2 linked regions of the Arabidopsis thaliana genome follow. The protein of the gene in region 1 interacts with the protein of each later gene in a pairwise test. Each region holds a gene or a part of one and is shown on either strand. Other genes may lie near its edges.

Region 1 (5,282 bases):
AAACGGTAATCTTATATATACAGTAGACTTTTTGGCCAAAAATCTCTATACTATTTCATCCCTACACAGTTTACCTTTCATATGGTTCTTCCAGAGTCACACAGATGCAACTCATTAAAAAAACATAAGGTACTTGGAGATCAACTGAAGATAACAAATGAGCTCACACCAGATAGTTCAAGAGATTCACATGCATAAGGCGGATAGTAGCAATGCAGATCAACTGGAGATAACGAATGAGCTCACACCAGAAGAAGCGAGAAGCTATGCGATATCCCAATTGCCTCGGGAAATCTCAAAGCACATTCGTTTTGCCTTCGACTCACCTGGTTATGAACCGTTCTTTGCTTCTCAACTGGGTATATACGCACCACAGAAAGCGTGGGATGTGGCTAGAAGAGCCAGCATGAGGTCACGAGCCAAAGCATCAAAGAAGAATTGAAAGGAGAAGCAGAAAATAGATATGAGTTGTGTTGTACATTTAGGCTGTCACACCATACTGGAAGTTTTGTTAGGCCAGTATTGGAAATATGTAGAAATCTTCGGTTTGGCGTCTTTGTTTGTAATGCATTTAGTTTTCAAAGTCTTTATTCTGGGGTATTTAGGCACAAATGAGAAGACAAACGCTCAATTTTATAGATATAGAAGCCTCTCCTACAAACTTTTTTATAGCAATCACCTCAACAACAGAAAAAAATGATGTGTTTCTTTTTTTCTAGGGGAAATTCGAACTCCACTTAGAAAAAAGAAGAGAAAAGGGCACATCTACAATGATACATAGGCAATAAAACTGGAACTTCAAAAAATTATATATGGTCGGGACCACAAAAAAAAACAGAGAAATCACAAAAAATAATCAGGGGTCTTCCGAGTAGTATCAGGTTCAACTTGTCGAGGAGCTGGATCGAACTGGAGGAAGTTTTGCTCCATGTTCTCTCCTATCTCTAGAATGGCAGCCATGTTTCCACACCGGTAGCAATAGTTTGGTGCACTAAACACAGTCACCACATTCTTATCCTGTTACCATACAAAGGAGAGATCAACGATTCAATCTGAGAGAGAGACTAATCATGCCGTAAGAATGTTCATACCTGACACCAGTTAAAACCTTCCATGACAAGTTGATGCGCTCTTGATATGAGACTTAGTCCATTGTTGTGATTAAATTGAGCTGCGATATCCTGTCCAAATGTATAACCAGCACCTCGTGGAGATATTCCCCATCCACATCGATCATCAGGATCAGACCATAATAAATCACACATAGGTCCTTCGTGTGGAACCTACAGATCACACATCATACATAGTTCAAAGAGCTGAACAATAAGATGTCATAAAAAATTCCAAACGTTTGTGCTCTTTGTAATTGTATCTTAAGTAGAGACAAGACACTGAGACCCAGGAAGGACTCATAACTCTTCCAACTAAGTCCACACTAAGGCCTTTAGCAGAGAACAAGAAGGTTACCTCCTGTATCCGATCCAAGCTTCGGATATTATCAAGAGTATCCAGAGAAGGTGAAAGCCCTCCATGCAAACAGAAAACCTACAAAATTTGATGAAGTCAAAAAGCTGTACTTAGAAAAAGATGTATCAAACACCAACTGAGAAAGAACAGCTCTAACCTGACTCTCTATGAGGGCGGTAAGAGGAAGATAATCGAAAAGGTCTGTAAAATACTTCCAGACGTTAGCATTTCCGTACTTCCTCAAGCATTCGTCATAAAAACCATAGCTGAAACAGAGAAGCAAAACATGCATCAAAACAGGATAGTACTTTGCTGATCAGCCAGAAACCAATGAAGAAAAGTACGATTCGCTCAAATATAAGCTTATTTCAAAACAAAAGCTTACACTTGAGTAATCTGCCGACTCTCGTGATTCCCTCGTAAGATTGTAAGTCTATCCCTGTATCGCACTTTTAGTGCCACCAATAGAGAAACTGTCTCTACTGAATAGTAGCCACGATCTGCAAAGAACAAAGCAAGACAATGAGAAACCAACAACACTCCTTTTAAACTAAATCTAGCTGTCACCATCTTATGGTACACCAACGAATGGTTAAAGTTCCAAGGATCTAAAGACTAGAATTCAAGGGAAGTGCAATAATGAAAGTGAGCATCAACAAGTCTCTATATTGGGAAGTTTCAGTACCTACCATTCCAAAAAAAAACAGAACCCACAAGTAACTCACTCTAGATAAATAAAAAGGTGGATACTTTTCCAAGAATTCACCATTTTGGAATGATCCAAAAACACAGATCTAAAATGAGAAAAAAAAGTAAAAACCCCAAAAATAAAATCGAAAGAAGAAGAAAGACAGACCTACATAGTCTCCCATGAAGAGGTAGTTAGTATCAGGAGCGTTGCCACCGATACGAAAGAGCTCAATAAGGTCATAAAACTGGCCGTGAATATCGCCGCAAACGGTAACAGGACACTTCACCGGCTGAACATTATATTCCTCGACAAGGATCGCTCTCGCTTGATCGCAAAGCGTCCTCACATCCGCCTCCGATAACGGTTTACACTCCATCAGCTGCTCGATCTGACGGTCCAGATCTCCGTTCGACGGCATCTTGAAAAGCCACCACCGATCCTATATACGAAAATTACGGCGGATAAAGAAGATGAATCGCCGGAGAATCTATCGGCCAGAGCTAAGATATCCGAATCGGAGAGATCAAATCCTCCTAGCTTCTCTGGTCTTCGATAGTTCGATGTCTCTCTCTCTCACCTGGCTGAGAAAAAATGGATATTCGTTTTTTTTTTTTAAAGACTAAAAGTGGGTCGTGTCCAAATAGACAAAGTATAAATGTTTTATGACCCGGTTAAGGTTCGGTTTTGTGTTAATTTTATTAGTCTCGCCAATTGTTATAAAACTTATGATTGTTTTTTTTCTTTGGTTCAAAATAAAATTTTGAGTTTTAGTTGTTTTTTCTTCTGTTAAATTCGTTGGTGTTTTCAACTTAATTCTAGTTGTTTTCGGTCAAATTATCAAAAAAAAAAATGAAAAAAAAAAGAGAGAATTGAGACCAAACCGGATCGGATTTGAATTGTGAACCGTTACACGTGGGTAGTTGGAGCAGAGCTATTGTCATTTGAACTTGTCTAAACGATAAGTATATATGGACAAATCATCTCCTCCTCTCATCCGGTAATTATAATTAGTCAACTAATGTTTTCATATTATGTTTTAGATTTGACAAATTTGCTTTTAAGTTTTTAATGTTGACATGATCGTCGACTATGAGGCAAGTTCCTCGTCGAACAAATGGGCCTGGAGAATCTGGTAGAGCGGCCCATGGTAACAAAAATAAAAGAAGGGGCGTTCCGAGAATTGAACTCGGGACCTCTCGCACCCTAAGCGAGAATCATACCACTAGACCAAACGCCCATTGATGATAGCTCTGACAATACATATTTATATTTAGAAAACATTTTGAACCATTAATTTTGCTATTAAATTGATGCAAATCAAACCTAATTAAAGTTTATCATCTAACACAGTATGAAAATTCATAGACCAAACATTTTTCCCTTGCATATTCTTCCCACTTGTAAGAAAATGTGACCGAGCTTTTTAGGTAAAATTAGGATATTATACTTTACTTACTACAAACGAATATTAATAAACCAGATTTAGTTTGAATAGACTGGAATATTATGTTTCGTTTTTATAACCTTAAATCAAATCCTCACTTACGCATAGGTAATGAAAGTTGAAAGAAAAAAAACCCTAACTCTGCTTTTTACTTGGTTTTTGATTTACATAATATTAAACCGGTAAGTTTGATTTGGAATTGAAAAATAAACCAATTTCGTACGTAACCTTCCATTTAGCTCCGAAGGTTCTGATTACATACAGACATGAAGATTTCTTTGGGTATATAAGCAAAACAAGCTCCTCTCTTTTTCTTCTTCTTCCTCGTTCCGTTGCCTTACCCTCTTCCCTCCTCCGCTTCCAAAATCAGCGAGAGAGGGAGACACATAGAGAGACAGAGAGATTGCTCCTAATCAGAAGCAATCTCACCATTGAATCATCTATTTTCTACCAAAAGGAAGCTTCTTTTGCTTTTCATTTTGCCAAGTTTCCGTCTAAATCTCTCTACTTTAAAACTCCGGCGGCCAACGTTTCCACCGATCCTCCGACTTCTTTCCGAGTTTCATCTTCTAACAAAGGAACGAAGAAGCTCTCTTCACCGTTTGAGTAACGTGATCCGGTCTACAAAGGTTTTAAATCAAAATCTCTTGCTCAGAATTTTTCCTCGTTTTTTGTGATTTCTCTTAAGATTTTCCGATGAGAGATCTATTACTTGGGACAACGATTCCGAGCTATTTCTCTTGGCTTGGACTATTTCCACGGTTCTTAGTTTGGTTTGGCTTCTTAAAAGCCTCTTTTTTTTGTTCTTCCAGAAATCAGTCTGCGGGAGAAAGTGGAAGAAGACTGAAGATGAAGAGAGCTAGAGAAGATGTTCACACTGACACTCAAAAGCGAAAGCCTGAAGTTTCGTCTCGAGGAGAAACGTAACTCTCTTACTCGATAAACCCAATTTTTTATTGTTTGTTCTTTTCAATTTTACATTTGTTCGGTAGTCCACAAGTTATATTCTTCAATGTAGTTTGATGCAATTGAAATGTGTAAGAGTATTTGAAAGTTACATGTGTTTGTGCTATGCAGAAACAAGCTACCTCGAACCATCGATGCCCTAACGTATCTCAAAGCTGTGAAGGATATTTTTCACGACAATAAAGAGAAATATGAGTCATTCCTGGAGCTCATGAAGGAGTTCAAAGCTCAGACGTATTTTTACTTCGCTTCTCTTCTTGTTTAGTTTCATTTTGCCTTTCTTATGTGTTGTATTGTGGATGTCACATTGTGAACTGCGTATACTCATGGTGTCTTATCTTGGTTGCAGAATCGACACTAATGGTGTCATAGAAAGGATTAAAGTGTTGTTCAAGGGTTACAGGGACCTACTTTTGGGTTTTAATACTTTCTTGCCCAAAGGGTATAAAATAACCCTTCTGCCAGAGGAAGAGAAGCCTAAGATCCGGGTGGATTTCAAAGACGCTATCGGTTTCGTCACCAAGATTAAGGTATGGATGTAATATGGTACTAAATGGCATACTAAGGTAATGATGATTTATATCAGTTAAGGTTTACTGGGGTTTCTACTTTTGCAGACGAGGTTTGGAGATGATGAACATGCGTATAAACGGTTTCTAGACATCTTGAACTTGTATAGAAAGGAGAAAAAGTCCATCTCTGAGGTCTACGAAG
Region 2 (5,672 bases), on another chromosome or scaffold:
CCACTTTTGGGGAAACCATTGAAGGCGTTGAAGAAGAAGAAGAGATTGCATAATGAAGCAAAAGGGGGAGATTCTTGTGAGGTTGGTTCGATTCAGGAGATATCAGAGAAGAATGTTGATTTATGTGGGAATGGTAATAATGGAGTCTTACGCAAGGAACTGAGAAATGGTTTGTTGAGTGATCATCATCATAGACAAAAGGCGAAACAGATTTGGAAGAAACATGTTTGGGTTGTGTTGATGTTTGATTTCTGCATCTGTGCTGTTTTGTTTGGAATTTGGCTTTGGATTTGTGAAGGGTTTCAATGCATTCAAGGGTAAAAGTTATCATCATCTGTGTACATCTCCAAATTCATATTCTTTGAATCTGCATCAAAATTTGATCATTTGACATCTTTTTTCTGGGTATCCGTTTTTTTGGATCAAATCTGATCCCTTTTGTTATCTCTCTGTTCTTGTCAACTTTTTTCATCTTCTTTGATTTTTAAAGTCGCAAAAAGTGTTGTTTCCAGGAGGAAAACTAGGGTATAGATTGAATCCTGGTTTACATGTTAATGATGTTGTTAATTGTACTTTGGAAGTTAAATCATTCACAAGCAAAATGTGTGTTGTTATTATCTCTTTTTTTTTTCTCGCTTCTCTTTTGTTGTTTGATTCCATAAATGGTGCTGTGATTGAACGTGGGTTACACAATAATAGAGGACAACAAAAGATGGTCTCAGATCCAGTCACACGTTAGTATTTTACTAGATATATACATTGTATCTTTAGTAGTCGGCGTATTTAAAAATAATATTCCCAACGAAAATGAAAGTGAATCCGTGAATCCAAAATCTGTAAGTCTAAGGCTTAAGAGTAGAAAGATGATTACATTACAGACATTATAATAAGTGAACGAAGAGGTTTTGGAAATAAGAAACAAAAGAGAGGGAGAAAGTGTTAAATAATGTGTGTCTCGGTCTCTAGTCTCAGCCACAAGGTGTGAGTTTCTTGTTACCTGCACCGCGAGGATTATCATCCTTCCAATCATCGAAAGCTCTAGCTTTCATCACAGCTTCTTCGTCTTCATCATCATCTTCCTCGTCTTCTTCTTTTCTTCTTAGAGGTTTATCATTGTACCATGAGGTGGTTGCTTCTTCAATGGCTTTTTTCGTCTGCTCTTGCCAATCATTCATTATGTTCATCTCTGTTAACCCAGCATCCTCTATGCACATTGTTGGCATCCTACAAAACCCAAGTTTAATCACCATTTTTAAATCTCAAAAAGGATTAAGATTTTGTAATGAGCAATATTTTGTGTCTACCTGTGACTTGGTTGGAAGACCTGAGCTATCATTCTTTCTCTCTCGGTAGAGAGCGGTCCACCCACGATGCTTGCTGGACCGAATATAAGAGGTTGGTTCTTGTGTTCGTGACCTTGTGATACCGAAGCTCTTCCTTCTAACACATCTTGTGCAAATGTGGCACAAGTGATTGGTTGTGCCGGTTTAGAGTACTGTATCCTTGCAGCAGCGTCTCTGTGCCAGGTTTCAGCTTTCTTTGTACGATCATCAAGAGCATCCCGAGAAAATCCACCCTCTCCATCCTGATCAAAATATCATAACACGTTTTCTTCTTTTATATGTTTATCAAATAGTTTTGTTCGCACCTAAAAAAACTAACACCACGGTAAGCTACCTTCAACTGTCTTTCCTTTATTGCAGAGAGCATTTCCTCTTCTCTCTTTAGCATTTCCAACAGATCAATAGCCTGTAACGAAGTTCAATCATAAGATAATGCCTCCTCAACTTGTGACAAATCATAGGGTTCTAATGAAATGATTTTTAGACAAACCTTACAAATAGCCAAGTTAATTGAGGAGAGCCAGGCCTGCAGAGGAAAGCAATAAGACAAGAAAGCTTAGAAGAAAAAATCGAATTAGAGAAAGCAGCAAAACAAAAAGTGGGACAAACCTCTCTCTCTTCTTCGCTGTCATCATCTGGAATATCATCTTCTCCAGATTCAACCGGAGTCGACAAAGCTGATGCTTTAGTGGAACGTCCACGTCGCTCCTTCCTCTCTTTAATTTCAAGAAGCTTTGCCTCTGCAGCCTTTTGACGTTTGAACCGAGCTATCTACAAAGTACCATAATCATGAAGACACAACACGCATTTCAAAATCCGAAAACTTTAAACTTCATTCTCGTCAGAACATAAACAAAAGAAACAGGGCTGAATCTACCTTGAGAGCCCTTCGATCAGCAGGTGCACCAGAACCTCCTCGTGAAGAAGCCTCCAACTCCTCATCCGGAACAAGCTCCATTGCCTCACAGAACGAAAAGAACTCCTAGACACAATAACAAAACTATACATCAATCTCAAAAAAAATCCAACCAAATGCTCATTCCCACTTGCAATAGCATCAAAGGGATACAAAAACATGTAAACACTCAGCAGAAAACTAACCTTCAACTTAGCATACGAGGCTTTGACAATCTGAATCCGGTCCTCCTGTATGATTTTCTCTGTCAACTCCGCAAGATAATAAGGCACCTATAATCACAAGACAATATAATCCCTCGTCACTTTATAGAAATGTCAACTCGCAACACAATCTTATGATCTCAACACAATCTTATGGTCTCCACACAGAGTAAGTTCAATGGAAAACGTTACAATCCAAAATCTCAGACTCCATTTTGAATTTCAGTCAGTAGCTAAAACTAGAAGCATCAGGACAAGCTAAAGTTTTTCACTTTCAGATCTTTCCACACCAAAACTAATAACAAAACTAGAATACAAACAAATTACAAAAATCCAAACAACAGAGACTCAATTGCATACCAAAAGATATTTGAGATTGTTGGTGCTAATATCTTCTTTAGTCTCGTTAGACGAAAACAGCGCCAGCTTCCCGATCATATCTTCGCACTTCTGAAACATCTCACATCCTTTCTTCACAACATCCTAACAAACCAAAGGAAAAGAATGAACTAAGCATCCCCGGAAATGTCCAATTCAGTAAAAACTCGCGATTCGGATTCGAAATACCCATTTCAGATAAACACCCTAATCGAATCTGTATATAAAAAAGAGGTAGAAGCTTCCACCTGATCAACACCAGACTCTGAAGCAGCAAGATGAATTTTCCTAGCTTGCTCGAATAGCACCGATAAAGGCATTTCCTCCATAGCCAAACCACCCATCACAGGCAACAATTCAAAATTCCTTAATGAAATCGAATCCACAAGAATCGAGTTTCTTCGAGAAGAGGATCGTCTTTTGAATTTTTTTAGGGTTCCAAATCGAAATCTGACTAATTTACCACGAGTACACACAGACAGAGGAGAGAAAATGTTAACCGCGAAGAGCTTTATAAGGGACGGTTGAGATTTTGCCGCGTCAGGTGAAGTAGATAACTCGAATTCTATTAGCCGTTAGATCTGTCCACAACCTCAAAAGTCAAAAACCGACTCAGTTGTATAAAAATATCAAGTCAAAGATCAGGTGCGGCGGGTGTAGTGTAAAACCGCCACGAATGTGATTGTGGCTATGGTATATGAATGTTTACTGTTTTTTTTCTTAATTTGAATGGAGATGAAATTTTCTTGATTTTTGTACGAGTAGGAGTATGAATAAACTAGTATCGCACCCGCTGTCTAAGCAGCCCGAATTGTCGTAGTGTTATTGATTCGATCGACCTATAGCAGTAAGGAATGGTGGATACCGATAACTAAAGCCACCTCAATCGCGGTGAATCAGCTGGATCCAAAGATTTAGGAACATCCAACAAACAATTCATGAATCGAAAACGAAGAGGTGCATTGATTGAACAGAGCTTACTATATATACTATATATGACTGTCACCCATTACAGTCTACATAGCTTGAAAGGGAAATGGATACAGAACTTAAATGTTTGACTTTCACGCATTTCACTCGACATATCTTCAAGAGGAAAATGAATTGACTGAATAAACTGTAGTATGCTATATACACAGCACAATAATCCGCATTATTTAATCTCTCACGCACACCCGCGCAGAGAACAACAGCCTCCTAAGCGACCAAAGCTAGAGGGATGCTTCAAAAGTTGACCTGAGATGAGAACTGCAAGTTGAGAGAAACTACTTGCCAGATCTAAAATAAGATAGTCATATGCGATTCATTAGGAGACTTTGGGAGTGAATGGTTCTTACTTCTTACGAGAATTGAGCCATACGGCAAGAGAAATCTCAGTTACGATGATATTGGATGGCTGGGTAAGGGTAGCGAGTGGCGACTTGGCTGAAAAAAGGTTAAATTTACGTATTGAGAAAAAATGTGAAGAGTAAAAAATTAAAGAAAGTAGTTGAGGATGTTTATGAGCAGAACCTGAGTAACCCCAAAAGACTTGTCGTCACCCATTTTTTCAAGTCAATGAAAATGCCTGCGAACTTGATCACGATTATCTGATATGAAAGAACAGAAAGAGAGTATATATGGTTTAGGGATATATAAGAAAAGACAAATGTTGTGTTCACTTGTAAAGAGGACTTACCTGAGATATGATAGTTGAGGTTATTGTAACGAGAAACATATTCTCTCTAAGGACTTCTTTGAAGGTTTGGTCTACACTTTGGATTTCAAACTCATTAAAAACCTGCGTTATTTTAGAAAGATAGAGAGATGATCAACATATGAACTCTAATTAGAAGAGTGGGAAAAAATCAGATATTACCAGGTAGAAGACAAAGGAATTGAATATCAATGTGTTCATCATTTTTTCGGCATTGCCCGTCTGACCATGCTTCAGCTTCAGTAGCTTCTCAGAATTTATGAGTACCAGCGAGAGCACTAGGTAAAATACCTGGAGGAAGGTATTTCATGACACAAGCATTATTAGAGGTCTCCAAACCAGTGTGTTTGTCTCTAATCTAAATAATTAATTAGTTTAATATCACCAAGGAATTGTATTTGCTCCTTGGAAACTATGAAGGTGTGAAATACTTAATCTGACATTAACGTCCACACATGATCAATCGAGGATTTTACCCTACATACCTGAATTATCATCTTGGACCACATCGTCTTGGTTATAAGAGGATCTCTGAAAAACAAAAAATGTACACATGCATATGTACTATCAGTTTGTGTATATTCACCTAGAACAGATAGTGTGTTTTAACAAGAATTGCAAAACCAACAGTTTCTTCAAAACCTTCAGCATCAATACATTAATGTCTCTTTCTAAGCCAACTCTATATTGACTTAATAATCAAATCTTATCCTTGATCCTATTCAGAATTTGTACCTTATACCAACCGGTGGCTTTCCCATTAGGTGGTGATCAGATCTTGGTCTGTATGCCAAAGCTAATGCTCCTAAGATGTCGATAATTAGATTAACCAACAGAAACTGCATCAGGAAAAAGCAAAAACTGGGTTAGGGAAAAGGTTTCCAATCTTGGAAAAGCTGGATAACAAGATGATGAAGTAACAAAGGGATAACATTTTGAACCTGCACGGCGTTAAGGGGAAATGCATCATAAACTACAACCTCAACCACACAGACAGCCAATGCTGATACACTGACAGTGAGGCGGAATAGGATAGATTTCTGGACATTGTTGTACAGAGATCGAGACCATATGATACACTGCATTATCCAAACAAGCCTCTAGTATCTTATCAAAATGATTTAAACTGCCAAAAG

What was found. Proteins that work in one complex are often made in the same cells at the same time.
Region 2: the proteins of PP2A-2 (region 1) and TAP46 interact in a two-hybrid assay, tested with the Arabidopsis thaliana proteins (one study listed by BioGRID).

What each region holds. Positions count from the first base shown.
Region 1 is NC_003070.9:3,427,862-3,433,143, forward strand, and holds PP2A-2 (protein phosphatase 2A-2), read right to left. Parts: upstream 3,064-5,282; 5' UTR 3,040-3,063; intron 2,776-3,039; exon of another isoform or gene 2,740-2,775; 5' UTR 2,577-2,739; coding exon 2,324-2,576; intron 1,968-2,323; coding exon 1,853-1,967; intron 1,734-1,852; coding exon 1,625-1,733; intron 1,546-1,624; coding exon 1,468-1,545; intron 1,284-1,467; coding exon 1,092-1,283; intron 1,018-1,091; coding exon 844-1,017; 3' UTR 617-843; downstream 1-616. Other genes in the region: SNL6 (paired amphipathic helix Sin3-like protein), read left to right, coding at 4,299-4,525, 4,680-4,802, 4,918-5,098, 5,186-5,282. UniProt on the Arabidopsis thaliana protein: Dephosphorylates and activates the actin-depolymerizing factor ADF1, which, in turn, regulates actin cytoskeleton remodeling and is involved in the blue light photoreceptor PHOT2-mediated chloroplast avoidance movements.
Region 2 is NC_003076.8:21,484,686-21,490,357, forward strand, and holds TAP46 (2A phosphatase associated protein of 46 kD), read right to left. Parts: upstream 3,358-5,672; 5' UTR 3,185-3,357; coding exon 3,089-3,184; intron 2,946-3,088; coding exon 2,823-2,945; intron 2,532-2,822; coding exon 2,445-2,531; intron 2,326-2,444; coding exon 2,221-2,325; intron 2,115-2,220; coding exon 1,953-2,114; intron 1,870-1,952; coding exon 1,834-1,869; intron 1,750-1,833; coding exon 1,678-1,749; intron 1,586-1,677; coding exon 1,305-1,585; intron 1,225-1,304; coding exon 969-1,224; 3' UTR 632-968; downstream 1-631. Other genes in the region: AT5G52990 (SNARE-like superfamily protein), read left to right, coding at 1-321; AT5G53010 (calcium-transporting ATPase), read right to left, coding at 4,214-4,265, 4,353-4,429, 4,519-4,620, 4,699-4,827, 5,022-5,067, 5,272-5,375, 5,478-5,615. UniProt on the Arabidopsis thaliana protein: Involved in the positive regulation of the TOR signaling pathway. Acts as a negative regulator of PP2A catalytic activity. Plays a positive role in the ABA-regulated inhibition of germination, probably throught its interaction with ABI5.